Struthio camelus: one gene and its partner. The protein of the gene in region 2 purifies or fractionates together with the protein of the main gene of each other region. This does not show direct contact. Links are inferred from orthologs where the notes say so. Each region holds a gene or a part of one and is shown on either strand. Other genes may lie near its edges.

Region 1 (7,636 bases), about 15 Mb from region 2:
GCCTGAAGAGGGGGATGTGCTGCCCTGCGCTGCCCAGCTGTGGGGTAGCCGAGCTTGGCACCGGCCCTGCTACCCGCAACCGCTTGAAGGGAGGGCTGGGGTTGAGAGGTTCAAGCTGCTCATCCTCAGGCCAAGTAGTGGTTGCCTGGAGACCCGTGAGCTGCCCAGTTCCCTCCCACCTGGGGAAACCCAGCGCAGCCAGCAGCAGTTCCCGTTAATGCTGGCCGCGGCCCAGCCCGTGGCCTTCCCGCCAGCTAGGTCCAGGCGCTGGAGCCGTCGGCCAGCAGCATGTCCACCTCTGTCCTCTGCAGCCAGAGGCGCTGCTGCTTCTCGCTGCGCAGCTCCTGGCCACGGTGGAGGGTCCGGCAGGCCTGCGCGGCCGCGCAGGCGCCGGCGTGGAGCTGCTGGCACGTGGTGCAGCAGTACGAGGGCAGCACGCCGCGGCGCAGGCACGAGTGCAGCTGGTAGCAGGGCAGCTCCGGTGCCTCCCCGCTCGCAGGCCGCGGGGCAGCAGGGGGCAAATCCCCGGGTCTGCCGCTCGCCGGGGGCTGCTGGGGCTCACCCAGGTGGCCGGGCCGGGCCAGGCCCAGCGCAGGGCAGTTTGCTGCCCGGCTCAGGGCAGGGGCAGGAGGGGAGCAGCGGGAGCTCACCTGGGGGCCTTCGCTCCCCGCAGTCACGGCGTCTCGGGAGCCGCCAGCCCCACCGAGCTCCTGCTCCAGGAGGAGGCGAGAGGAGGCGTCTGGATCGGCGTTACCCTCGGAGGGGAGCCGCTCCCGCCCCAGCTCACCGCGTCCCACGAGGTCCCAGCTCCTCCTGGGCGCGTCCTGAGCACCCCGCAGCCCAGCCGGGTCCCTCCCGAGCCTGGCGCCCTGCTCCCGCGGGGTGGGTCCAGGCAGCGGCGAGGGGACTGCATCCTGCCGGCCTCCCGCGGGGCCAGCGTCCTCGGGGCCCACCGGCGGCTCCCGGTACAGATCCACGCAGTCGCTGCAGCCGGCCCCGGCGTCGCGCTGCAGCGCCAGTCGCCGCAGCGCCTCCACGCAGGCCTCCGTGCCGCCGGCGAGCTGCCGCGCCTCGAGCAGGTCTTGGGCGCGCACGCGGCGCGGCCGCAGCCGCAGCACCACCTCCACCAGGATCTCGCACTCCAGCCGGCAGGCGAAGAAGCCACAGGCGGCGGCGACGAGCTCGGGCCCCGGGGGCGGCCGGGAGACGGCGAGGTGGTGGTCGTCCCTCCTCACGTAGCCCAGGCGGCCGAAGCTCCGCGCCAGGTCGGCCTCGGGGAGCGCCGCTCGCAGCCGGTGCACGTACGTCCCCGAGAAGGTCTGCAAGGAGAGCGCGGGCACGGCTGCAGCGCCCGCCCCGGCTCCCTCCTAATGCCCCACAGCCGCCCGCGAGCCACAAGTGTGGGCAGCTCAGCCGGCCCCAACCCCGCCGCCAGCGACTCCCGGGCGTCCCCCCGGGGCTCCTCCTGCCCGGGCACCCCGGCACGAGCCAGCCCCGACCCAGCCACGCGGCCAGCACCGGGCTCCCCACCTTGACGGTGCCGAACTCCTTGCGCCAGGGGAAGAGGTAGAGGTTGATGGCCGCCAGCTCCAGCACCTCGAAGGCGCCGGCCAGGCCCCGGAGCGCCTGCACCAGGTCGCGGCGGCCCCGCAGGCCGCTGGCCAGGAGGGCCGCGGCGTCGTCCTGCAGGGCCCGGAGCAGCGCCGGGTCGTCCCGCAGGCGCTGCCGGAGCAGCTCCCCGAAGGCGGCGTCGGAGCAGGCCCCGGCGCGGCCCCGCCGCAAGTCCCGCTCCAGGCAGCGCCGGTACTCCTGCCGCAGCGCCGCGCCGGAGCACATCCTGCGGGAGGCAGCGGCCTCAGCCTGGCCGGCCTCCCCCCTGGGCCTGCCACGGCCTCAGCACCCTGCACCCAGGCCCGGCTCCCTCCTCCTGCCCGTGGTCTCAGCACCCTGCACCCAGACCTGGCTCCCTCCTCCTGCCCGTGACCTCAGCACCCTGATCCTGTCCATAGCCCGGGCACCCTGCAGCTGGCCCAGCATCCTGCACCTGGCCATAGTCTCGCACCCAGACCCAGCACCCTGCTCCCATCCACCGACTCAGCACCCTGCTCCCAGGCCCACCACCCTGCACCTGGCCTCAGCATCCTGCGCCCAGACATAGCCTAGCACCCTGAGCACAAGCCTGCCACCCTGCTCCCACCTATGGGCTCAGCACCCTGCGCTCAGGCCCGCCACCCTCCTCCTGCCTGTGCCCTCAGCACCCTGCACCCTCCTCCCGCCTATGGGCTCAGCACCCTGCACCCGGGCCCGGCTCCCTCCTCCTGCCCGTGCCCTCAGCACCCTGCACCCAGGCCAGGCTCCCGGGCCTGTCCCCCGCGCCCCGCGCTCAGCGCCCAGCCCCGACCGCGGCCCCTCCGCGGGACCCCTCCCCGGCCCCGGCGGCGCGGGGACCCGGGGGATCCCCCAGCAGGGGGCGTGGCCTGAACCCCCAGCAGGGGGCGTGGCCCGGGCCCCCCCCTCACCTGCCGCCCCGGCTCCCCGCGGGGCCCCAGCGGCGCCCCTTCCGCCTCTCCCGCGCCCCGCCCCGCCCCCTTCGGGCCGTGACGTGTGCGGGGCGGTTCCCGCCGCCACGCCCCCTCCGAGGGGCGGGGCCAACCCCGGCCCGCCCACCGCAACCCCCCCCAACTCGCGCCGACAGCGCCACCCCGCGGGCGGGAGGAGCAGCGGCGCCCCCGGGGCACCGGCCCCGGGGCAACCGGGCAGGCAACGACCGGGCCCCGGGGAGGGCGGGGGGCAGCGGGGCTGGGGCTCCCCCACCCCCGGGCCCCGGGGCAGCCCGCGCCGGCCGGAGCCCCGAGCGCCGCAGGCGGCAGCAGCGGAGGCGGCGGGCAGGCACCTTTATTAGCCGCTGCCCCCCGCCGCGGCGGCACCCGGGGGGGCTCAGCCCCGGGGCCCCTCCGGTGTTTCGCCGCGTCCTCCGGCCCCCGGCGGCTTCCCCCACCCCGGCAGTTCCAGTCCGTCCGCGCGGCCCCGCGGGACCCTCGGCAACGTCGGCGGCGCCGGGAAGCGCCGGGAGCCCAGCGGCACCCGCCCCGTCCGTCCGTCCGTCCGTCCTTCCGTCCGGCTTCGCCGAGGGGTGGCCGGGCTGCCGGCTGCTCAGCGCAGCGACTCCACGTAGGACAGGGCGCTCTGCAGCGAGGTCAGGCAGTACCCCTCCTCGCCGATGAGGTACCTGCGGCAGAGGGGCGCGCCGGCGTCACGGCCAGCGCCCGCGCGCCCGGCTCCCGCGGGGCCCCGGCGGCACCTACCCCTCGTGGATGAACTCCTCCAGGGCCGCGCACTCGGACACCAGCTGGGGCAGCCCGCTCTGCAGCACCACGTAGGACAGGATGGGCAGCAGGTCGTCCGCCCCGCTGCCGGCAACGGCATCCGTGAGCCCCGGCGCGCCGGCAGGGCAGGCAGCCTCGGGGCGCTGCCCAGCGGGGAGCGAAGCCCGTCGCCGCAGCCCCCGCTCGGCGCAGCTGCGGGGCCGCGCGTGCCCGCGCCGGCCGGGCCGTACTCACATGGCGGCGGCGGCGGCGGGGGGGGGCCGGCTGTCCCGGGCGCCGCAGTACTCCTCCGCGCACTCGCAGATGACGCGCAGGGCTCGCACTGGGGGCGCAGCACGGCCGTGAGGTTGGGCCCCGCGCCCGCCCCGCGCGCCCCGCGCGCCCCCAGCCACCCACCGATGCACTCCAGCTTCCTCTGGGGACACGTCTCCAGCGGGATGAGGCGCAAGTCCTCCACGGCGGAGCCGTACGCGGGGCCGCCGCCTGCCCGCGCCCCGGCCGCCGGCGGGAAGAGCCGGGGCGACAGGCCCAGCTCGGCGGGGCCGGCGCTGCGGTGCCGCTCCATGCTCCTGGCCAGGGCCGCTTCGCGGGGCCGGTGCACGCTCCTGCGGGCAGGCGAGGCTGCGGGCAGGTGGGGGCCGGGCGCCGCCGCCGCCTCCGGCCCAGCCCCGAGCGCCCTACCTGTACAGCGCCAGCAGCGGAGCCCACAGCGGGGGGAAGAAGGCCTCCTCGATGCAGGCCAGGCACTGCTCCTTGCAGGGCGCCGCGCTGAGCCCCTCGAAGGCCAGCAGGCTCAGGGACAGCAGCCTGTCTGGGAAGGGCCGAGTTACGCAGCGCGCTCAGCCGGGGCTGCGCGCCGGCCGGACCGCCCCTGTCCTCCCCGGCCGGCCCCGCATCCTCACCCCGCCGCCCTGCCCCAGGCACCCTGCATCCCTGCCCCGCATCCTCACCCCATTTTCCTGCCCCACGTCCTTGCTCCAGGCACCCCGCATCCCTGCCCCGCATCCTCACCCCATGTCCCTGCCCCCTGTCCCTGCCTCAGGCACCCCGCATCCCTGCCCTGCATCCTCGTCCCCTGTGCCCGCCCCACGTCCCTGCCCCACAGCCCTGCCCCAGGCGCCCCACATCCCTGCCCTGCATCCTCGTCCCCTGTCCCTGCCCCTTGGCCCTGCCCCATGGCCCTGCCCCAGGCACCTCACATCCCTGCCCCAGGCACCCTGCATCCCTACCCCACGTCCCTGCCTTAGGCACCTCGCATCCCTGCCCCACATCCCTGCCACAGCTGCCCCACGTCCCTGCCCCAGGCACCTCGCATCCCTGTCCCATGTCCCTGCCCCAGGTGCCCCACATCCCTGCCCTAGGCACCCTGCATCCCTGCCTCATGTCCCTGCCCTAGGCACCTCGCATCCCTGCCCCACGTCCCTGCCCCATGTCCCTGCCCCAAGTATCTCACACCCCTGCCCCATGCCTCTGCCCTAGGCACCTCACATCCCTGCCCTACATCCCTGCCCCAGCCGCCCTGCAGCCCTGCCCTGTGTCCCTGGCCAGCCGCCCCAGGTCCCTGCCCCACATCCCTGCCCCAGTTGCCCCAGGTCCCTGCCCCAGTCCCCCCCCAGGTCCCCACAATTTGGCACAGCCTGCAGCAGCCCCACACCCAGGCTCTGCCTGCGGGCTCCCTCTCTGCCCCACACCCCTGGGTGACGGAGGCACCGCGTCCAGGGCCATTGCCCAGCCCCTGCCTCACCCTGGCCGAGATGTCTGGATCCCCCCACCGCCGGAGGGCAGAGCCCTGCCCCGACCCCCTGCCCCGGCGCCCCGGCCCAGCGGCCGCCGCTCACCGATGGCGTTGTGGATGTCCCGCACGACGCCCTTCAGCTGCTCCTGCAGCGACGCCTTCTGCGCGGGGCCGGCCGGGGGCTCCCCCGCGCGCCAGCCCTCGGGCGACGCCAGGAACCGCTCCAGGTCCTCAAAGGAGCTCTCCCGGGGGGGCGGGGGGCTGGCTGCCCCTGCTGGGGGCCCGGCCGGCCCCGGGGAGCCGCCCTCGAGCCCGCGCCCGTCGGCCAGGGGCGAGCTGGACAGGCTGTGCCGCAGGCCGGCCGGGCCGTGCTCCGGCACCGAGAACATGCAGTGCAGGCTGCGGGAGGCTCGGAGCCGCCGGCCCCCGGGCTCCGGGGCCAGCAGGGCCCCGGCGTCCAGCGAGAGGAAGGAGAGGCCGGTGGGGGAGGCGGGGGCGGCGTCGGCAGCGCCCTGGCTGACGGCCGGGTAGAGCCGGCCATACACCGCGCACTGCAGCTTCCGCAGGAGCTGGGCAATGGGGTGCTCGGGGAAGCTGCAAGCAGAGGGAAGGGGCTGCTGACGGAGGCGAGGGGCGGGCAGGCGCCAGGAGGCATTGGCAAGCAGCCGCGGCCCCCTCCCTCCCTCCCAGCCCGGCCCCTTCCCAGCCCAGGCGCTACCTGAGGAGGCAGGAGAAGAGCCCCGCCACCACGGAGAGATCCGCCGGGCTCCGCTTCAGCTTGGCCTTCCACTGCCGCGGCCAGTCCTGGGAGAGCGCCCGCGGGCGGATGAGACGGGACCCCGGGGCCGGGACGGCACCGCGTCCTGCTCCCCCCGGACCCGGGGACGGCAGGCATCCTGCCCCCAGCAGCACACGGGGACAGTAGGCGTCCTGCTGCCAGGGCCAGGCATCCCTTCCCCAGGCAAGGGCATCCTGCCCCCCCAGGCAGCATCCCACCCCCAGGATAAGGCTTCCCGGGCCAGTGGGGCCGGAGGCAGCAGCCCCCGGAGCGCACTCACGTGGTCCTGCTCGTACTCGAGGACGGCGGCGTAGAGGGCTCTCTGCTCCTGCTCCTCGGGGGTGAGGGCCACGCTGCCGGAGAACCTCCTGCCCGGGCAGCAGCGGCGGTGGGCAGCGGGGGTCTGCTGGGCGGCGCCACCAGCACCCCCCTCCAGGCACAGGGACACGAGGTCCCTGCGCCTGCGGGGTCCCCCTGCCGCGACGCCCCGGCCCCGCTCACCTGTTGGCAGCCTCCTGCAGCCGCAGCCGCCGCTCCTCCATTTTCCGCTGCAGCTGGGCCACGGCAGAGTCAAGGCTCCAGAGCCACCTGCGTGCCACCGCCGCCACCACGGCACGGGGCCAGCCCGCTCGCCCGCCACCCCGCACGGCCAGCCCCGGCGTCTCCTCCCGCGGCCCGGGGGTCCCTGACGGCCCGCCACCATGGCGAGCATGGCTGGAGCCCCTGCGGGACCCCCACGCCGGCCCGGGGAGAGCTGGGCAGGAGCCTTCCAGCCTCTGCTTGTCCAGGCTCAGCCACCGCCTCCTACCGGGCAGGAGCCAGGATCTGCCCTTCTCCCACCCCGTTTCCCCCCAAGGCAGCCCGTAACAGCAGATCCCAAAAGCGCGTTTTGGATCAGCGCAGCCCAGGGACGAGGCACAGGTGTCCGCAGCAGCGCACGGGGCTACGAAACCCGGGCTACGCGCAGGCCCAGAGGCGCTGGGGCTGCCCGCAGGCTCGGGGCTGCTCCGGCCTGGCTGCATCGATGCTCCCTGCAGAGCAGGGGCCCAGCAGAGCCGCACGGCCCACGCTCAGAGCTCTTCGAACGGGAAGGATACGGTCTCCTCCCGGGCCTTGGCGATCACCAGGTTCTCCATCATCTGCCGCTGGAGGGACAGCGTCTGCGGAGCAGAGCGCGTGTTGGTGACGCCTGCCAAAAGCCCACGGCCACCCGTGCCACAGCGGGAGCATGCGGACAGGCAGGCAGCTCGGGGAACTCCCAGGCACCTCGCGGGACCCTCTGCTCCCTCCCAGCCCAGCCCGGGGTCCATCGCGCCTGCATGCTCCCGCCCCACCTCCCTGCCGCTGCAGGAGCCCTTTCCCTTCCCAGGCCCAGAGCCACCCCAGCAGGGCCAGGGCCTCTCCAGGGCCGCTTGGGCCCTGCAACACCCGACGCGACTCTGGCCGAGGCCCCGGGGAGGGACTGGGGGGGTTGGGAGCTGCCCGGCTCCGTGCCCAGCCCGTGCAGAGCCCCAGCCCTCGGCGCTCCCCACTTGCCAGGGAGGTCTTCTGCAGGGCCTGGCGGGGGTTCAGCCGCGCCACCCGGGCCTCGTAGGCAGCCTTCAGCTTCTGGTTCTGCAGAGACGCCTCCTCCAGCGGCGTCAGCTCCCTGCCGGCAACGAGCCCTGAGCGCCTTCCCGGGGCGGCCGGGAGGTACGCAAACGGCGGGCGCGCGCCACGGGGCCCTTGGGCGCTCAGCACAGGCGCCCAGCACCCTGCCGAGGACCGGACGCCGTCCCTCCGCACCCGAACGCTGGG
Region 2 (7,285 bases):
GAAATTTAAGAAAAGTTACATCTTTCAAGCATTACGAATTCAAATATTTCTATGCTGAACTGCTAAGTCTCCTACTGCCACTCTTGTACGATACAGCCATTCGGGTCCTGAATATGCATGAGTTTCATCTTCACAGATGTTACACATGGGTGTTGGTGTCATCACGCTGACGCTGCAACAACTTGTAGAATCAATGTGTTTTAAAGCATTTGCATTTTCAAAATAATTCACATCTGAGGCACAGCATCTGGACAGTTTCAGATCTCATTAAGATATCTAGTAAACAGATTGTGAAACTGTTTTCAAGTTTTAAAATATTTATCTTCCTCAGTTTTATTTTAGAGACACATAATCATCAAGAAAGATAAAGTCCATACAACAAACATCAGTATTAGTTTGAAATAATATTTTATACTCGAGTTGAGAAGATCAACAACAGACCTATTTACTTTTTCCCTGTAAAGAGAATACGTTTAAGAGACCATAAGCTTTCATACATCTACTCAGACATTAAGAATCATTGGGGAGGGTGCAACAGGGGGTAAGATAGGGTCCTGTTCTTCACAGTTGCCTTTTATGTTCTCACCTTTCAAGGGCTGATGCACTTAACTTCCCTTTTTGCAAGCCATTCCACAAAGTTAATCAACTCCCAACACACTGCAAACTCAAATACCTCTGACATTACAGGGGTCACAGCCTCATCTAGTTCACTTGTGGAAACAAGTAATTTACATCTGAGTATGTATGGAAGCGGGATATTAATAGGAAAGTCTGTTCAAGAGCTTAAACAAAAATAAAGATGAATGCATCAAGTGAAGTCTTCTTTGCAGCTATTAAAAAAAAAAATTATAGTCTACTTGCTGGTCCACTGCTACAATGTTATATAATCTTAATGTGCTTAGTAGCAATAAATTCAATGGGAAAATGTTAACAGCTGCAATTAGATGATATAATGATAACTTCATAACGTCTGTGGCCAACCTTTCAAAATGCTAGTTATCCACAGGGATGTTAAGTGCTCACTAAACGTAGTACCAGAAGTTTTTCCATTACAACAGCAAGGTTCACTACTGCTATATAAAAAGCCTTCCTTAATGAACTTATTTACCACCAATTTCCACCTCCCAAAGACAAGTATATGTAGGTCTAACTACAAATTTAAATCTTTTTTTTTTTTTTTTTAAATCATGCAAAAAATAAATCACTGTCTTAACAGGAGAAAATCTTCCTGGAAAAGGATGCTAACTTCTATCAATATGTCAGAAGTATATATACACACAAAAAGCTTCACTGATTTGAAGATATTTTTACATTTTTTTTTCAATGGAATTGGTTATACTGTGAGTAAAGTACATTCAGATCACTGAACATACAGTATACGTTTGTCAGACAAAGACCAGAAAACACTATCAGACCCCAGTACGAATTAATTTGGGAACTAGACCAATTACGGTTAGCACCAAGTTATCATTATACTACACTACATAACAGCGACTATCAAGCCTCCTGCGTACCAGGGAGTACATGACCATCACCATGGACCTGTAAGCGTCAGGCTGTTCATTCATGTTCTTCTACTCCACCTACTACCTGAAACATTTTTGTGCCGAAGTGATTTCGGGAAACAACAGGCAAAACAGAACTATGACTGCAACACTGGATATTCTGAAAAGCGTCAGAGGTAGGCCACAATAAGCTGCCTGACTCCAAAACTTCCCTAGCTTCCTTTTTTGCACTGCCTGAGTCACTGCCATTGCTGCCGAGGGTCATCTCACCACGAAGAGGTTTGTTCTGAAACACGAGAACTTGGTTTCTACCCTGCAATAGCCTTGTATGAACCAAGCAGATGTTTGAACCAGCTATTAGGTTTCAATATGAACATGCAATTCTGTAGCCTTGATTCAGAGTATAAAACAAAGAGGCTACAATAACCTGTTCAAATTGTTTCTTATAAACCTTCCTCCTTAAAAGTTTTAAGCAACTGAAGAGCAAAGTAATCTTCTTGAACAGCCCGAAAAAAACATTTTCCAAGAGATGAAGGTAAACCAGCAGTAAGTAAATACTGCTACAACTTAAGAGATACAGAATTACATAATTGCAATACAAGCCAAGAGAGGGGGGAAAAAAAAAGAAATTCTTTAAGAACAGGTTAAAATATTACTTAATATAAATAAACACACATTGGTATCACAATTTCTAAAAGAAAAGTGCAGTTAAAAACTCTAACAATGCCAATGAATTTTGACTCTTACAAGGTTTTATCGTTTTGATATAAATAATCGATTTTAGAGGAGGAATAAAAACAACTATCAATTGCCAAAAGATTACTGCGACATTTACTAGATTTTATCAAGTTCGTGTAATCAGCACTTGTTCTGCCGACAAGCCTCTTCTCAACGCGACACCAAGTCCGCTGCACAAAACAAACTGCACACATTCATACCGTGAAACGAAAACCAAACCGGGTTTAGCTGTGCTCCGTACCCAACAGAAGCGCCTGAAGACAAGACCGACGTACCTGCCGGCGGCCTGACACGGTGAAGCGCGACGCACAGCTCGCCTGCAAGTCACAACGCCCAACGCAAAGCTAAGTTTTCGAAAACGCTGATTTCCCCCCGCCCCCAGTTTTCGGAATCTTCCGCCCTTCTCCAAACGTTCACGAGCCAGAGAGGGAAGCTGCGGGTCACTTTTCAAGCAAGAGCAGCGGGAGTTAACGGGGCACCGCAGGGAATTCACGGCGGGGCCGGAGCAGGAGCCCCCGCCGCCCGGCCCGGCCTGGCCCGCCGCCGGACAGGGCCTCTCCCCTCGCCGCCGCCGCGGGCCCCGGCGGCCGCCTCGCTCCTACCTGACGCCGCAGCCCCGCACTCACCTCCGCATCGCCGGCCCGGCTCCCGGCTCGGCTCGGCCCGGCGGCGGGACTTCCCCGGCCCCGCCTCACACCGCCGCGGCGCCCGGCGCGCCCGCCGCCCGGCCCGCACCCCGCTCCCTCATCGTCGTCACAGCAGCCCGGCGCTCCGGCCTGCGAAACGCACCCTGCTGCCCCGCCGGGCCCGCCCCTTTCGGCCCTCGGGCCCGCCCCACGGCCAATCACAAGGCGGGAACGCCACCGCCTCGCAGCTCTATTGGCGAAGAGCGCCACGGAGTGACGCGAGGATGAGGAGGGGGGGGTTTCCGCTCCATCAAGTTTGCATGAGGCGCAGAGGAGGAGGTGGAAGGGAGGGGCGGTCAGAACGGCGCGGTTGGCCGAGCGCTCCCTCTCGGGAGCGCGGATTGGCTACCCAGAGGGCGAAGGCGGGAGGGGGCGGGACGGCAGGGGCTGCGCGGAGGATGATTGGGCGGCCGGCGTGTGTTGCTGGGCGCCCATTGGCGGCGGGGCAGGCCTCGGCGCGCGGTGGTGGGCGGCCGGGGGGCGCAGGGTGGGTGCGGGGCTCGGCGGCTCCGCCGGCCGTTAACGGTCGCCGGCGGCGAGCGCAGGGCCGGGCCGGGCCGGGCCGGGCCGGTCTGAGTAACTGATCGACGTGTTCTCCGTCCCGCGGCTGGGGTACAAGCCCATCAGTGCTACGTGATGGGGAAAGTATCTGAGGAAGTAGGCGTTAGCTCAGCCAGAATCCATCTCGTTTCTCAGCCTGCGTCTCGCCAGCGCAGCTGAAGACTGAGGGGCCGGACGGATCAGTCCCGCCCGTCCAGCAGGCTTCGGGGGCCTAAATCCCTTTGGCGCTGGGTGACAGGGCCGCCCGTTCGGCAGCCCTGCAAGCACGGCGCCTGCGGAAAGAGAAAAGGTCGACGACACTCCTCTGGGCTTGACCACAGCATAGTTTACCATCAGAAACTTGTCCAAGTTGAAAACTATTAACTGAATTAATTTAATTAACCGCAGTGCTTCCTGGGGAAGATTGTGAGCGTCGTTATTGCAATGTTACACAAAATGCTGTTTCCCCAGTATGTAGCTTTGCCAACCACTTCGCTAAACTCGTGGCATAACTTTAAATGTTGCCTCATGAGTTACTCAGTGGTTGAGTTACCTAGAAAACTGTTAATGAATATTAAACTTGGTCTTACCTCAATATCTAGTTTTGAAGTATTTTTGCTCTCAAGAAGTGTAAGTAGTGTTACTGAAAATTTAATACAAGCCAAATGTAGCTCCTCTTTAACTGACCTACTTTTGAATGTAACTGTCATCTGAATTCTGTGCTATTTTAACTACTTAACATCAGTGTTTTACATGTTCAGTGAGCTCTTCTTAAATAATGAGAGAATGAACTTCAGAATAGAAGAGCTGCTCAACAGGAAGGTTATGTTTAAAGGCTCTACTCACACATGAAGTATGTGCGGATGACAACATTTGTTTTTAAAAAAGAAATGTCTTTTTTTAAATCACATTGTCCTTTAAAGTACTGGTGAAATAGTTTAATAATTAATTTATTTTAAAAACGCTGTTCTGAAATCTCGTACTGCGAGAAATGGGCTTTCTACAAGCAGGTATCTTTGAAAAAAAAGCATACAATCACATGCCTATGGTGGTTATGATAATGTTGCCACACAAGTAAACGCTTTCCTATTTTATTAGCATCCTTAACATTCCTTTGATATCTGTTTTTACATGGTTTAGTTCTACTTTAGCTTAAATAAGGGCTGTTCCAGTTAATGCTACTCCCCATGGGTCTCCAGAATCTAATAGAGACATAGTGAACGAGCGGCTGCGGTGTAGCCCTGCGTGCGGGCAGAGTGCCTGCTTCAGCGCTGAAGTGTAGCGCTACCAATACTTTCCGTGAGAAGATGGGAAGACGTGACACAGGCTGTCGTTACTGCTAGTTCTGTGCAAGATGAAAAGGACACAGTCTGAATGTCAGAAACCAGGACTTTGTTGGTTTGCCTGAGGAAAATATGTGCTTGCATTTATTATGGAATAATAAATTCATATTAATCATGTTAATCATTTTATTTAGTCACTTAAGAGTAGAATTCCATTTTAAAGTCATACTTAATTTTTAAAGAATAAATAGCACTGAAAAGATACTATGATTTATGCATTACATTCCCTTTGTTTTGCAGAAGGGCACACAATAAAACACAGTTATACTCCGCTAATCCTCAAGGTGGCTATCTATACAAAGCAGCTGCATTTTCCTCTGTTTGTAGAGCTGCCTTTAATACTGCTACAAAATGCATCAGTATGTCTGCTGTAAATCCTGTTTTCCCAAATTTCACGATGTTTGTATTCCAGGTATAAATACATTACACATGGAACTTGGCATACAAATACTGGCCTAAGTATACTATTATCATATTCAAGAAGAAAGGTGGACAGGCAAGTTATAAGAATAACATATAAAAATTTTAGCTAGGAATGAATAGGTATGCTATACCTAGTAGCCCTAAAACAAATATTTTAAAAGTATTTCCCTAGTCTATGTTATTATGTATTTAACCCTCTATTATTTCAGCATATACCATTTAGAAAATCTGCTATTCTATCAGCAGAATAATGCTTGTAAAATTTAACCTGAGTTAATATGCTATTGACCCGTTGGGCTTGCATTACAGCTCTGTGTCACTGACAGACCACAGATGAAAGAAGGGCCAAGGCTGTTATTTATGCTAAAGCTCCTTCATACTCCTTTAGAAGTATAAAGGAATTGTAAAGTGATAACAGGGCTTTGGCAGTGTAAAATGGACCTGTTATGTTTCTTTCATGTTGAAAACCCTGTCTGTAACACCAACACAAGGAGATATTTGCCATTAAACTGCAAATTATTTTTTTAGACCACACTCTTGATAAACGTCTTTTCTAGTAATGGAAGAATGGTAAACAAATTCCACTTTCAAATGACACAACATTCTACAATTAAACATTATATAGATAACATTGAACATACTTTTGTGCTGTGTCAGGATAGTAGTATGATATTCATTTATCACAACATCATCCCAAAAGTGCAGAATATTCATGAAGAACAGCTGAATTTTTCTGCTACTTCAAACATGGAAATAGTAGCTATTTATCCAGCTGCATTAAAAATGAGAGGAAAAGTTCTTGTAGAAGCATCAAAGACAACATTACAGTACTTTCTAAATATTAGCTATTGATAAAAGAGGACTTGGACAAATAGGTATTTCTGCCTCCTCTTGTTTTTCCTCATCATCCACAGTTCCAACAAATGATGAGATAAAATAAAAAAGTATTAGTTACATAGTTTGGTGCCTGAGAGGGAAAAGCAGCGCAAACCCTACTAGGTCACTTGAAGCTGTATTTATTGGGGCAGAAGCTGCAGAGTTTTTTATAAAAAGCATATTACAACCACAGCTGAGACATGATACTCTAACTAACATAAGTAACACTTACGTTACTTATCTGTTAATCTTCTGTCTTTCACCAGGACAGGAGCTTGCTGTGCCCATTACAATGGTAAAAATCTGTCAGTAAACTGCAGTTTACATATAGCACTGGTTTCTCTCACATTTTTTAAGATAATACCAACTTTGTATTCTATGATTAAATATTGTGGCTCTTTGGGTTTGTGTAATCTGTAAAATGTTAACGTGTTGCCCAAGTCAGATTTATATTATTGTAGTCCCCACAGAAAATAGGCAAAAAAAAGATAACCGGAAGCAGAATTATCTATCTGGATAATTTCTCGAACATTGCTGTGGATTTTTTTGTCAGAGTATAAATCAAGCATAGAGTATAACTGAACAGTAAAAATCAGGTATAAATCAAGACAGGGTATTCTACTGCAGTCCCTTCTGGCCTTTAACCCATCAAAAGCTCATACATGGTCTTTTGATATAGGCATCCTTGATATAGCATCGCAAGACTAGCTCATGTGGTGGCTGATTACCAAGTGTTAGAAATAAACTTTCGGGTCACTCTTCCTAAAACAGACTTTCCTAAAGTGAGTACTTCCATCCTAAATTGGCAAGGAGGACCCAGCAAAACTCCTATGACAACTATTTTTATGCACTGAAATGTTATGGTTTCAACCTCGCCTAGCTCCGATGTTGCAGCAGAGCATTCTTTCCATATTGCTTGGTGAATGCATTTTAATACTGTGCATTTTTTCTGTGTGCCAGATAAGGTCAGTGCTTTCCTTCAGCGAATGTGACAGAACATGCTTTTCCATTAAAATTTACCATAGTTTTATGAGTAGTCAGATGAACTGACGCTGTAAGTGCACTTCTTCATCCCGCAGAATGTTATGCTGTCTTTGTAAAAATTCCCCTTTTCTACTGTTTAATCCTTTGCATATGCTGTATTTGACTGTTGGAAGTAAAACTGAGGATATAA

The links. Proteins that work in one complex are often made in the same cells at the same time.
Region 1: the proteins of CYLD (region 2) and SPATA2L purify together in Homo sapiens (affinity purification with mass spectrometry; 3 studies listed by BioGRID and IntAct, with this or other methods). This does not show direct contact. The link is inferred for Struthio camelus from reciprocal best matches to the Homo sapiens genes CYLD and SPATA2L.

Annotation. Positions count from the first base shown.
Region 1 is NC_090951.1:1,875,663-1,883,298, reverse strand, and holds the start of SPATA2L (spermatogenesis-associated protein 2-like protein), read right to left. Parts: upstream 3,028-7,636; 5' UTR 2,894-3,027; intron 2,571-2,893; exon of another isoform or gene 2,520-2,570; intron 1,838-2,519; 5' UTR 1,837-1,837; coding exon 1,531-1,836; intron 1,320-1,530; coding exon 255-1,319; 3' UTR 1-254. Other genes in the region: VPS9D1 (VPS9 domain-containing protein 1), read right to left, coding at 3,154-3,229, 3,306-3,410, 3,561-3,648, 3,723-3,931, 4,008-4,137, 5,165-5,655, 5,780-5,865, 6,120-6,207 and 3 more.
Region 2 is NC_090951.1:17,365,863-17,373,147, reverse strand, and holds the start of CYLD (ubiquitin carboxyl-terminal hydrolase CYLD), read right to left. Parts: upstream 3,044-7,285; 5' UTR 2,941-3,043; exon of another isoform or gene 2,870-2,940; intron 2,537-2,869; exon of another isoform or gene 2,519-2,536; intron 1-2,518. UniProt on the Homo sapiens protein: Deubiquitinase that specifically cleaves 'Lys-63'- and linear 'Met-1'-linked polyubiquitin chains and is involved in NF-kappa-B activation and TNF-alpha-induced necroptosis.